Linked DNA regions of Oryzias latipes. The main gene of each other region encodes a partner of the protein of the gene in region 3 in a complex. Links are inferred from orthologs where the notes say so. Each region holds a gene or a part of one and is shown on either strand. Other genes may lie near its edges.

Evidence for each region.
Region 1: the proteins of disks large homolog 4 (region 3) and 5-hydroxytryptamine receptor 2C-like are in contact, whole or in part, in an NMR structure (PDB 2MHO), measured with the Rattus norvegicus proteins. The link is inferred for Oryzias latipes from reciprocal best matches to the Homo sapiens genes DLG4 and HTR2C. Residues at the interface, in NP_062567.1 of Rattus norvegicus: Gly74, Leu75, Phe77, Ser78, Ile79, Ala80, Asn85, Pro86, His87, Ile88, Thr97, Lys98, His130, Val134, Leu137, Lys138; in NP_036897.2 of Rattus norvegicus: Val452, Val453, Ser454, Glu455, Arg456, Ile457, Ser459, Val460.
Region 2: the proteins of disks large homolog 4 (region 3) and cript are in contact, whole or in part, in a crystal structure (PDB 5HED), measured with the Rattus norvegicus proteins. The link is inferred for Oryzias latipes from reciprocal best matches to the Homo sapiens genes DLG4 and CRIPT. Residues at the interface, in NP_062567.1 of Rattus norvegicus: Gly322, Leu323, Gly324, Phe325, Asn326, Ile327, Val328, Gly329, Gly330, Glu331, Asp332, Glu334, Ser339, His372, Glu373, Ala376, Leu379, Lys380, Arg399, Phe400; in NP_063972.1 of Rattus norvegicus: Lys94, Asn95, Tyr96, Lys97, Gln98, Ser100, Val101.

What each region holds. Positions count from the first base shown.
Region 1 is NC_019876.2:20,439,900-20,443,553, reverse strand, and holds part of 5-hydroxytryptamine receptor 2C-like, read left to right. Parts: intron 1-522; coding exon 523-758; intron 759-3,654. UniProt on the Homo sapiens protein: G-protein coupled receptor for 5-hydroxytryptamine (serotonin).
Region 2 is NC_019877.2:12,480,994-12,484,747, reverse strand, and holds the start of cript (cysteine-rich PDZ-binding protein), read left to right. Parts: upstream 1-1,073; 5' UTR 1,074-1,186; coding exon 1,187-1,202; intron 1,203-1,405; coding exon 1,406-1,471; intron 1,472-2,843; coding exon 2,844-2,898; intron 2,899-3,046; coding exon 3,047-3,150; intron 3,151-3,754. Other genes in the region: pigf (phosphatidylinositol-glycan biosynthesis class F protein), read right to left, coding at 431-658. UniProt on the Homo sapiens protein: As a component of the minor spliceosome, involved in the splicing of U12-type introns in pre-mRNAs. Involved in the cytoskeletal anchoring of DLG4 in excitatory synapses.
Region 3 is NC_019872.2:14,414,328-14,417,981, forward strand, and holds part of disks large homolog 4, read left to right. Parts: intron 1-2,574; coding exon 2,575-2,681; 3' UTR 2,682-3,654. UniProt on the Homo sapiens protein: Postsynaptic scaffolding protein that plays a critical role in synaptogenesis and synaptic plasticity by providing a platform for the postsynaptic clustering of crucial synaptic proteins.

The DNA.
Region 1 (3,654 bases), on a different chromosome or scaffold from region 3:
AAAAAATCCTTCCAACTACCTAAAAATAGTATTTTCATTGAAACCTGGATTTGGAGACCGAACAGGTGACACTGACAGTTATTAGGAGGAAGAAGTCGAAGAAAGTTTTTCTTTTTTTTTCTCCCAGCAGTGATCTTATCAAATCATTTTAGAGCAGCATATACATAGCTTGATCCATTTAGAGATAAATGTGCAGGATATGGCCGCCCTTCCACATGCTCTGCGTCTGTCCAATCCAGACAAGAAAATTGTGAATTAAATGCCCACCTGTCTGCCACATCCCTGCTTTCCTGCAAATTGCCAGCACCACTGTTAATAGCAAAAAGCTATTGCTGTTATTGATTCCAGCACGGGCTGCACTTTTCTTTGAAACCATGAGGCTCCTCATGTTTCAGATTTGCTTTTCAAAGCTAAAGAAAAACCTCAAAAATAAAATTGCATACTGTAGGGTATTTCTACTTTAATATTTATATATTTTAAGTTCCCGATCCACAAGTTGTTGCTCTTCTTCCTTTCCTGCAGAGGTGAAGCCAGCAGCCCCTCAGAGCAGGCGAAACACTCTAAGCTGCCTGAAGGGGGCCGAGCCCAGCATTCTGCTCAGTGCCTCCACCTCTGACAGCATCAGCATCATTCCCAGCTCTGAGGTGGCGTCACAGCTCAGTTCTCCAGCCGCTGGGCCTGGCCGGAGTGATGCGTCAGGTTGCCACGGACGACGGGGGATGATGCAGGCCATAAAAAATGAGAAGCGGGCTTCAAAGGTGAGAAGGAAATGTTGCACTACAGGTGACCATGCTCGCTACTCACTTGAGACCCAATCATCTAACAGATCTTACTTACTTTAAAGGGAATTATATTAAAAGATTGACAGGAAAAACTTTCAAATGTCTCTCAGCTTTTACTCTAGATAACTTTGAAAGATTACTCAAAATAATCTGTCCTTTGGGCAACACACACATTGAGAAGACCTTTTGCGCGATATTTTCTTCTTCTTGATGCCTCAAAGTCTTGATCAGTTAACTGTACGGCAGTGGTTTTTGTGTAGACACAGACATGCTTCTTGCTAAATGTAAACCACCTTTAAAGACCCACTCCAATGAAATTTGTGTTTTTGGTGTTTTTAACATGTTCTTGCGGCATTTTTCTGTTGATTTAGGACACATATGAAGGACATATATGAAGCTTAAAATTGTATTTCTGAGTATTTTTTTATTTAAAACGTATATCAGGAACAGACATAAGAATGGTGTTTGAACAAGATTTGTGACGTAGAAGGCAGGCCACGAGCTCCCTGCTCCGCCCCATTCTGATGCATGCACGTGCAGACAAATAGATCCATGTGCGTCTTTGTTTTTCTCGTTCAAGCTGGCAGCTGGCCCAAAACTGTACGGCTGGATAGCTCCAAAATTGATTTTGTTAGGTTGGAGGTATGAGAGGCTATAAGCTAGCAAGAGTGTGTAAACACAAAGCTCTCAATAATGGGGTGGGAAAAGGGACCCAACCGACCCTGGTTGCTCTGCCCCCAACTCAGAGGCAAATTTCTTATGAACTCCTGTCGCTCTGCAGAAACTATGTCCTATAAACAACAAAGTTTTTTATTTTTATTTTGCCTTATAACGGTATAATCATAAATAAAAGAATGCTTTTACAATAGATCAAAAGATTATCAGAGACTGGAAGACTGGAAAAAAGTAAATGACTGCATGTTGCCTGGTTTAGATGTGTCAGAAGCACCTGTTCAACAGAGAGGAAAAACTCATGCCACATTCACATCGGGCATGTTCAGCATATGGGTTGTTGCTACACAATACTAGCACATGTTCACCACCTACAGTTGGAAGAGGCTTGGTGTGAAATGTTGAAGTAAAATGCAAAATCTCTAGACCAGGGCTGCTCATTCCTGGTCCTCGAGATCTACCACCCTGACTGTTTTCCAGATCTCCAAGCCCTGCTATCTGCTGATTAGCTCAATCAGATGTCTCCAAATTATGATTTAATGAACACACTTGATCCAGGTAATCAGCAGCAAGCAATGCAGGGAGAGCTGGAAAACAGGCAGGGTGGCAGATCTCGAGGACCAGGAATGAGCAGCCCTGCTCTAGACTCTTGCTCCAGGCTTTTTCTTTCACAGCTCTATTCTGATATATGAAAGACTTGGTGTCACATAATACCGGCTGGGCAAAAGCCACAATTATTAATTTCTCCTCCACGTTCAATTTTCAAACAGTTGGTACTTCCGTGAATTAAAAGGCAAACCATTCATCATTACCAAATCCGGAACCCTAATTAGTTAAAGTTCGATCTGGTGTAATTTTAAAGCGTGTTTATTGGATGCACATTTTATAAGTAAAGCCCGATAACTGTGTTAGAAACTTGTGTAGCTATAGGTGAATGCAAGAGTTATGAACATGGTAGCGCAAAATGTGCCTTTACCCTTGTTTACTGTTTACTAATGAAAAGTGGCCATTTGAACGCGTATTGCCAAGGACGTTGTGAGTGTCGTTGTAGACTGAAACTTTAGGCAAAAAAAGGCAAAGCTTGTTAAATGTTGAGCTTTTCTTTGAGTAAAAAGCCCTGCTGGATGTCGGAGAATTTAATCACCTGACTGGTTTAATATGATGGAAAGGCCAAAGTAACTCAAATATCCCTTCTTTACAACAAAGGTAGCTGGAGGACATCATCGCATTCACAGACAATGGCAACAGAAGACCACATCAGCTGTCACAGCTGTCAGCTAAGAACAGGAAAAAAGGCATCAAGTGACACAGGCACCACATTTCACAACAGACAAAGTGTTCAGGTGGCAGTGTCAGACTTCAGAGACCATATCATGAAAACAAGCACCCAGTTTGTTTTGTGTCAAACACAAATATGATTAATTTACCAGTCGATCTTCGTTTGAATACTCCCCTATCGTCATGAGCTCTGGGTCATGAACGAAAGAACAAGGTCCCGAATATCATCGGCTGAAATGAGCTTCCTTTGTAAGGTAGTTGGGCGCTCCCTTAGAGATAAGGTAATAAGCTTGGTCACCCACAGAGAGCTCGGAGTAGAGCCATTGCTCCTCCACATCGAGAGGAGCCAGTTGAGGGGACTCGGATATCTGATCCAGATGTCTCCTGGACGTCTCCCTGGGGATGTGTTTTGGTTGAGAGAGACTGTGTCTCTCAGCTGGTCGGGGAATGTCTCGGGGTCCCCTCAGAGGAGCTGGAGGAAGTGGCAGAGGAGAGGGAATTTTGGGCATCTTTTTTTATGCTGCTGCCCCCCCAACCCGGTCTCGAATGAGCGGAAGAAAATGGATGGATGGATGGATGGATGGATGGATGGATGGATGGATGGTTGTTTTTTCTTTCTTAAACCATTCTACATCACACATTCATCGTATTGTAGTCCAGTTTAAGTAGATTTACTTAATTAGTGCAAAACTAACAAGCATATGGTGTCACACTGGAACGTCTCTACCCAATACTTGCACATGTCTTTGAAGCTGGAAGAGGCTTGTTGTGAAATGTCCAAGCAGTGCAAATTTCTAGAATCTTGCTCCAGGCTTCTTCTATCACAGCTCTCGTAGAAGATACGAAAGACTTTGTGTTATATAATTCCAATAACACAAGTTCAACTGTTTCAGCTTTCATCACCAGATCAACGGCCATGTGT
Region 2 (3,754 bases), on a different chromosome or scaffold from region 3:
TTATATGTAAAAGCTCAGAAAAATTATTTTTTTATATGAGTTTGTTGTAGCAGAAAAATGTTAATAAGCAACAATTGCATATAGACTGTCATATGAATTTAAAATGTTTAACGTGAAAATAAAGCACTGTAGCAAATGTTTATAAACTCAATTAAAAATGTGTTCAAATCAGAAATACACATTTCTAATTATTACTGAAACGTCCATTTGCAAATTTGTTTTTTAAAAACGAGACAAAACGTTTACGAGTAAATAATAGGAATTAATTGTTTTGAAAAACCTAGTTTTCTATTATTTTAAATTGTGTAATAATTATTTCTGATACTTCTCTCATATACGTATGACTATTTGGCAAAAACCTTAAACAAATCAAGCACATTTCTTTGGGTTTGGACAAAATAAAGACATTTCCGAGGGAAGACATTCTGACCTTATATCCAAGTGTATTTTTTTTAGTGGACGGTGTGACGCCGAGGAGCCAGAAGACGACGACACTGACAGCATTCACAGCACCGGATGTGCAGTACAGCCACAACAGGTGAGTGCCGTACACCGAGAAGCTTAGAACAAAAACTGCAGGTAGCACCGTAGCCATGAACATCGAAGCGGCGATCAGAGCGTGGGTCGACACCATGGCTCTGATTTCGTGGTCCCACATGATGAAGACTTTCACTTTTCACAACAAGACAATAGAATAATGTAGATAATTTCAGTAGAGGTGTCTTAGAATTTTGGTAGGCGAAAGGACACGCAAATCCATGTATGACTACGCTTCCGTAAATATGAAAAAAAAAAAGCAATTTCCGTTTGCGTTTCACAATAAAACAGAAGATTCTCTTTTGATTGTTAATTTCTACCAATTTCTTTGTTTTGACATACATTACCCAACATATTTAAATCATATTCAACACTTTATAATAAAATACTATTTTCTAAAGTGAAATTTATATTTTCGAGTGCTGATTCCGTGGCGAAAATATTGTTACTCTCATTTTACTTTTATTCTGGATTTTAGAAATGCGCTTCTAGTCGGAGTGAACGAATCACATAACGTTTTACTGACAGGATTACCCAATGAGATTTGTTTGTACAAGTTGACGAAGACAACCGGAAGTTACATGAGCAGAGCTAGCTTGAACGCTTGTACACATTTTATATCAAGACAGGCCAAGTAAACGCAGCTGAGATGGTTTGTGAAAAATGTAAATATCGCACTTTCGCCTTGTTTCTTACATAATTTTACACTTATGACTTAGTTAATATAGTTAGTTAGTGACATTTTTGTTGTTTTGTTGAGTGGCTAATATTTTGTTATGCTAGCATTTGTTTTGGTTTTCCTTGCTCGTAGTTAGCTTTGTTAATTATTAATAATTCTTTGTTAATGTGGGATTTCCTAATATTTTAGGCGAAAAGAAGCTCGGAAAGGTCATCACTCCTGACACTTGGAAGGATGGAGCACGAAATACGACTGGTAACGTAGTCTCTATCCAAAAACATCCAAAAATGTTTACACGTTTAATAATTTAGACAATCGTGGAACGACAGGTAAAATAAATATGTTGCCCCCAAAAAATCTGTCTTGTAAATGAACGTCATTAAGGAATCGAAACGATGGAAGGAGAAGCTACTGCTAAAATATTTATTAGAACAGTACTCATTTACATATCTGTTTTCCCCGTCGGTCGGTCGGTCGGTCGGTCGGTCTGTCTGTCTGTCGGTCTGTCTGTCGGCTCATTTTCGGCCTACATCATAAAATTGTCTATTTATTTAAAAGTATTTATGCCCTACGTTCCTTTTCAAGAAAATGGTCTGTGACCCTGTCGTACCAACTAGGTGTCTCAACTGACTTGACCAATGTCCTCTCAATGGCCAGCAGAGCTAGGCTGCTTAAACAGCCTTAGCCCATTGTGTTTCGGGTGTAGGACTTAAGTCACTTTAAACAGGAGAAGCTCCTTTCTACACCTGCAGATGTAACTCCAATTGTTGCCACTAATGAGAACAGTTTGTAAAGCTGAGGCATTGGACTGTCCAACTCCATGTCTTTAAGGAACACCAAGTAATCATACAGCTTTCCCCTGTTACCCTGCAAGTCCTGATCTGAAAACAGGACTTGAAGTTCTGACCTCAGTCTTCCTGAATCAAAGGGAAGAATTAACTATCTAAAAAAAAATATTAAACTCTGTAAAACTGAAACAATCAATGTGGTGTATAATTGTGTGAAATGTATGATGAAAATCAAGCAATTTAGCCCAGCAATTATCAAAGAAATAGGTTGCAGCAGTTTTTAGTTCGACTGAACTTGAGAAATGTGAATAAGCGAAAAGCTTCAGTCAGAAGGCGGTCTTTTAACAGACCCTTCAATCATCACGGAGAAGCTCGGAGTTTGGGCTGGCCCACTCCCCACTCACCCCCAGAGACGCTGAGCATCCGTTGGCGGGACATAATCACAGCGTTTATCCAATGACCATCTAGTTTCGAAGCGCAGAAAAAAAATGTTCAAAGCAGCCCGATTGAAGTCAATGGACGCTGGGCTTCTTTAGAGAAATGCACTGTGATGCTGCGGGAATGTATGAGAAGGAAATCGAGTCAGGCGACTTGCTATATGTAACTGATTCTTAACGAACTCGTCTTTGAGATGAACGTTTTCTTACACATTTTTAGTCAATAAAATGTTAATAAAATAAAATACAATACAATACAATAGTACATATTTGACCATTTATTTTGTGACATTATAAGGGAAGCAGAGCTTCCCTTGCAGTCTTAAAGAAATCGCCACTGGTATGTATGTATGTACATACATGTGTATATATAATCTCACAATGTTGTTTTATTTTTCTTAGAGAGTGGAGGCCGTAAACTAAATGAAAACAAGATGTTGACATCTAAGAAGGCCAGGTGAGTATTGCACTGTGAAAAAACTTTTACTCATAAATCAAATGGCAGTGTAGTAGTTTCTAGCTTTCTGTAAGCACTAGTGGTTTATTTTGCTGTTAAGGTTCTTTGATGTTGCTAATTCTCAATGTTTAACTGTGGTTTTTCTCAGGTTCGACCCTTACAGTAAGACGGGCTTTGCCATCTGCAGAATCTGCAAGAGCTCTGTTCATCAGCCTGGATCGCACTACTGCCAGGGCTGTGCTTACAAGAAAGGTATAGTTGTGCACTTAAACTCTATTTTTATTTTCTTCAATACAAATTGAAGGTAACATGTCAAAAATTAACACTACAATGTATTGTAGAACCAAAAATCATATTAAAGCAGAACAGTATTAAGTAGGTTTTTCATTTTTATGTTCAGTCATAATATTGATATAAATTTGTCTGTAATTTTGTAAATCTTTACTATAACCAACATTGTGCTGGCATATGTTTGTGCTTCCATAACAGATGCCCATTTATATAAATGTACACATGTTGGCAAGTCCTTTATTATCTTCTCACTACACACTTTAATTTATAAAATATCCTTTGATGTAAATGTAATTTTTTTAGGGTTCCTGGTGACTGATACAAAGAATTTAAAGGTATAGGAATAGGTTAACTTAACTGTTTGTTTATGTCTGTAAAGTATTTGAACTGAGTGATGAAATTCAAACCTCAAAAGCCATATTTTTACAAACCTCGACCCCAGCCCCAAGCACTCGGCTTGCAGAAGTGGATACAAGGTTTTACATTGATTGCAGAATTGCATGTTGTGCCCCAAATATTGCAGGTTTTGATGAAGTGGTCAAAAATAGCCCCTGAGCTAAAAATT
Region 3 (3,654 bases):
TGCTTTTCACATTTCAAGGAGAATATGGCCCTGGCACATCACACTATCCTTCTCTCTATACGAGAATTTGGACACTTTAAAGGCTGCTTTTATTGTCTGTAAGAAGCAAGACAGTTTGTCTTGCAGACAAGACAGAAAATTGGCATTTTGGTTTAGCTGATGCCAGAGAAGGCCTGAAGAAGGTAATCCATATCCAGTTCCTATAGTAACAAATAATCAAATGTTTTAGAAACTAAATTTGCTCCATTTTTAGTCAACTGAATGAAAAAAAAACATTTCTGTCATTTCTTCCTAACAGCTGCTGTTGTTGGCACAATGCAGAAATCCATGTGGCGTGTGCACTTATCAGTGGGAGGCCCCTATGAGGACTTATGAGAGTTTTTTTTAAGGAGAATAAAATGTCCTGGCCAGAAAAAAAATGTTTTGTTCCCACAGCTGTATGTGCAGGACAGAATGTCTTACTTTCTCATCAAGAATGAACCGCCAGTAACTCTTCTGCACATAAACTTACAAATCCACATCTTTGGGCTGACTGAGAGGAGGAAGAACGTATTGGGACTCAGCCGTATTATTATTGATTACTAGACTGAGGCCTAATTTTCAACCTCTTACCTTCTCTGCTTTGCTAAAGGGTTGTCCAGGATAATGTAGAAATGTTAATACTGTAATCACTCCTAAAAAAAAATTTAGGAATTCACTGTATATACATGTCAGTATGCATGTTTCAGGGTTAATATATTGTGCAAAATCAACATAAGAAGTTAGGATTACATTTAATGAGCTGTTGTATAGTATCGTTTTAATGTTGTACTGTATATGTATTAATAATCTCAGAAATGGCAATTCTTTAGAGCCACATGTTGGCTACAGTAGTAAAAATTAATTTACATTTAGTGAATGGAAGAATGAAATGTTATTGTCAATGGAGTCAGATGTCAAAATGGCATCACATTTGATTAAATTTTCTTTTAAATTATTGCCAAGAACAGTGGTTAGTCATAATTGAAAACAACAACAACACATACTGTATTTATTGGACCATTATTAAAAATAAAACATTTTAATGAAATTTTCCCCCTATTGTTACCTTTGGGAACTTGATATTCCACTTGGAAAAAAGAAATTCCAACATCTGATGAACCAATTTCTAAAGAGCATGCAGGTTAAAGACCAACTCTGAGGAAAACTGTGTTTTTGGTGTTTTAGCATGTTCTTGTGGCATTTTTCTGATGATGGAGGACATGAACATATAGAAAATTAAGCCTTGTCTTCGCTTTCCTCGCCCAAGCTGACATCTGGTTTTAAAACTGTATGCTTGTACATGGATCTAGTTATCTACAAGTGGATGCATCAGCAGGGAGCTTGTGGCTTGCCGTAGTAGCTTCTGCAACACATTTATAGGCTTTTTCTAACTGCAATTTGAAGCATAATTTTCTTTTTATATGTCCTCCATCATGAGAATAATACCACAACTATATGTAAAAAACACAAAAAACTATTTTTTCATTGGAGTGAGTCTTTAAGAAAAAGAAAAAGTGCAATTTTCTCAAAAACGTCGTTATTCAAAATTCATCACATGTCTTCATCGGGAAAAAAGCTCTTATTTTTTCCTTAATCTTGTTTTCTGTGGTGCCACGTTGGTTTTTCCATTAGATTTTGTAAGGGAGTAAGAAAGGAAACAACGTGTTGGTGCTTTACATCAAACATTTATAGTCTGGCTTCATTGGTCCACATGTTGTTTTAAAGCAGCCCCCCAGCTTCTCAGCCTTTCACATTTTTTGAAAGCTGAAGATAGGCAGCAGTGTGCTATTTGGGATGCAGTCATTTTTAATTAATTCCCCTACTTTCACTGCTCACAGAGATACAATATTGGATCATCTATTTTTAGGACCTGTTTGAAATATTATTATGTTTTTGGTCATATTTATGCAGTAAAGCAGAGAATTTGTTCGCTAACTTGGGCCTTAAATGATGGCAGCACTAAACACAAAAATTAGGCTTTGAATTGTCAGACAACTCATCGTTCACATGTTCACATCATAGCTTTCTTTACTTATTTACACTTTGTGACCTGATGCTGTGTTTACAGATTCTTTGCCAATAACAATGCTTCGCAATCTTCCTCTGGAATAATGAGCCCCTCACAAGCATATCTGAGGGAGTTAAAAGCAGTAAAACAGTGCTGTTTTGGGGAACTTGGAGCATTTTAGCATTTTAAAGACGTAATTAGGGCAGATCTCAGCAGTAGACAGAAAATGAAAGCCAGGTCTCCATGCAAATCTGTTACTGTTTTGTTTCCAACAAGCTGTGAACAGCTGCGCTTCATGGCATCTTATCAAACACTTAAAGAATAAATATGTGGGAGAAAGTGTGTTAATATTAACATAAAGGAAATTTGGCGAGGTCTTGATGTTTCATAAAATAGTGCTGATTACTGGTTATTTGCTACACTGTACACATCTGATAAACACTCACTCTTTCATCTTTATATCCAATGCTTCCATTTTTCTACCTCCTATGGTCTATCCGCCCCTTTTTTTCTAACGTTTCCTCCTCCTTTGTTTCCTGCTGCAGCTGTCGTGGAAGGGGACAGCTTTGAAGAGGTATATCACAAAGTAAAGACAGTGGTTGAGGAACAGTCGGGGCCTTACATCTGGATCCCAACTCGGGAAAGGCTGTGATGCTGCCTCCGCCCAAACGCCGCTCCCTCACAGCCACCGACCCGACACCGCCCTTCACCTTCACAGCCAAGCCGGCCTCGCCTGTCTGTCTGTATGTCTGTCCTACAGCAACGTCAGAGCTTTGGCAATCACTGCAAAACAAAGAGGCCGACACACAGGAAGCAACTCAGCGAGGCAAAGACAGATACCAAAAAAAGAAACTGCGCAGATGTGAACACAGTGAAAAGATCTAATCAGTATTCCACATAGATGAAACAGGACTGAACACTGAAGCCCTGAACACACTTAGCATTAAATGCACCTTTGATACGAGCTATGATTGCATCTAAAACTGGGGGAAGGCAAACGTCCTAAACGCTTTAGTGATGCTAAATAACCCGTGTGTGTGTGGGTATGTATGTTTGCGTGGTTTTATGCATATTTAGAAGCCTTTGCATTTTCTCACCAGATCAATAGCAAATGAAGTGAATTTAACACACAGAGGGACTAGCTGCAACAGATCTGAGTTGTATTTTCACGCCAGGTTCTCCACACCGTCTAGATTTTTCTGGACGACAGGCAGCTTGAAAGAGAGCAGGGGGGGGGGGATTTGGCCTAGCACAGATGAAGTGTTAAGAGCACCTCATCCCCTGCAGTCATCTCAAGTCTCATGCCTGCACTGAACACCTCCTAGCGCCAATGCCTCCTGATGTTCAAAGAGATACTGGCCCCTTGTTTTATATGGTCTCTTGGCCTTCTGACCTCCCCCTCGACCTAACAACTCCCCTTCTTTCAAAAAAGGGTGCAAGACCGGGAACTGGTTTGGGACGGGGGGATCTGGCAGATGCCACGAGTCTTTTCTTAGCAAAGACCTATGTTTTATAAGACTCTTCTTGGTCGCTGGTGTGAGCTCAAATAACACCTCAGAGACCAAGACTGACTTTTGTTGTATCACTCATCTTAAATATTGCAAGTCTTTATTTAAAGGAAGTTC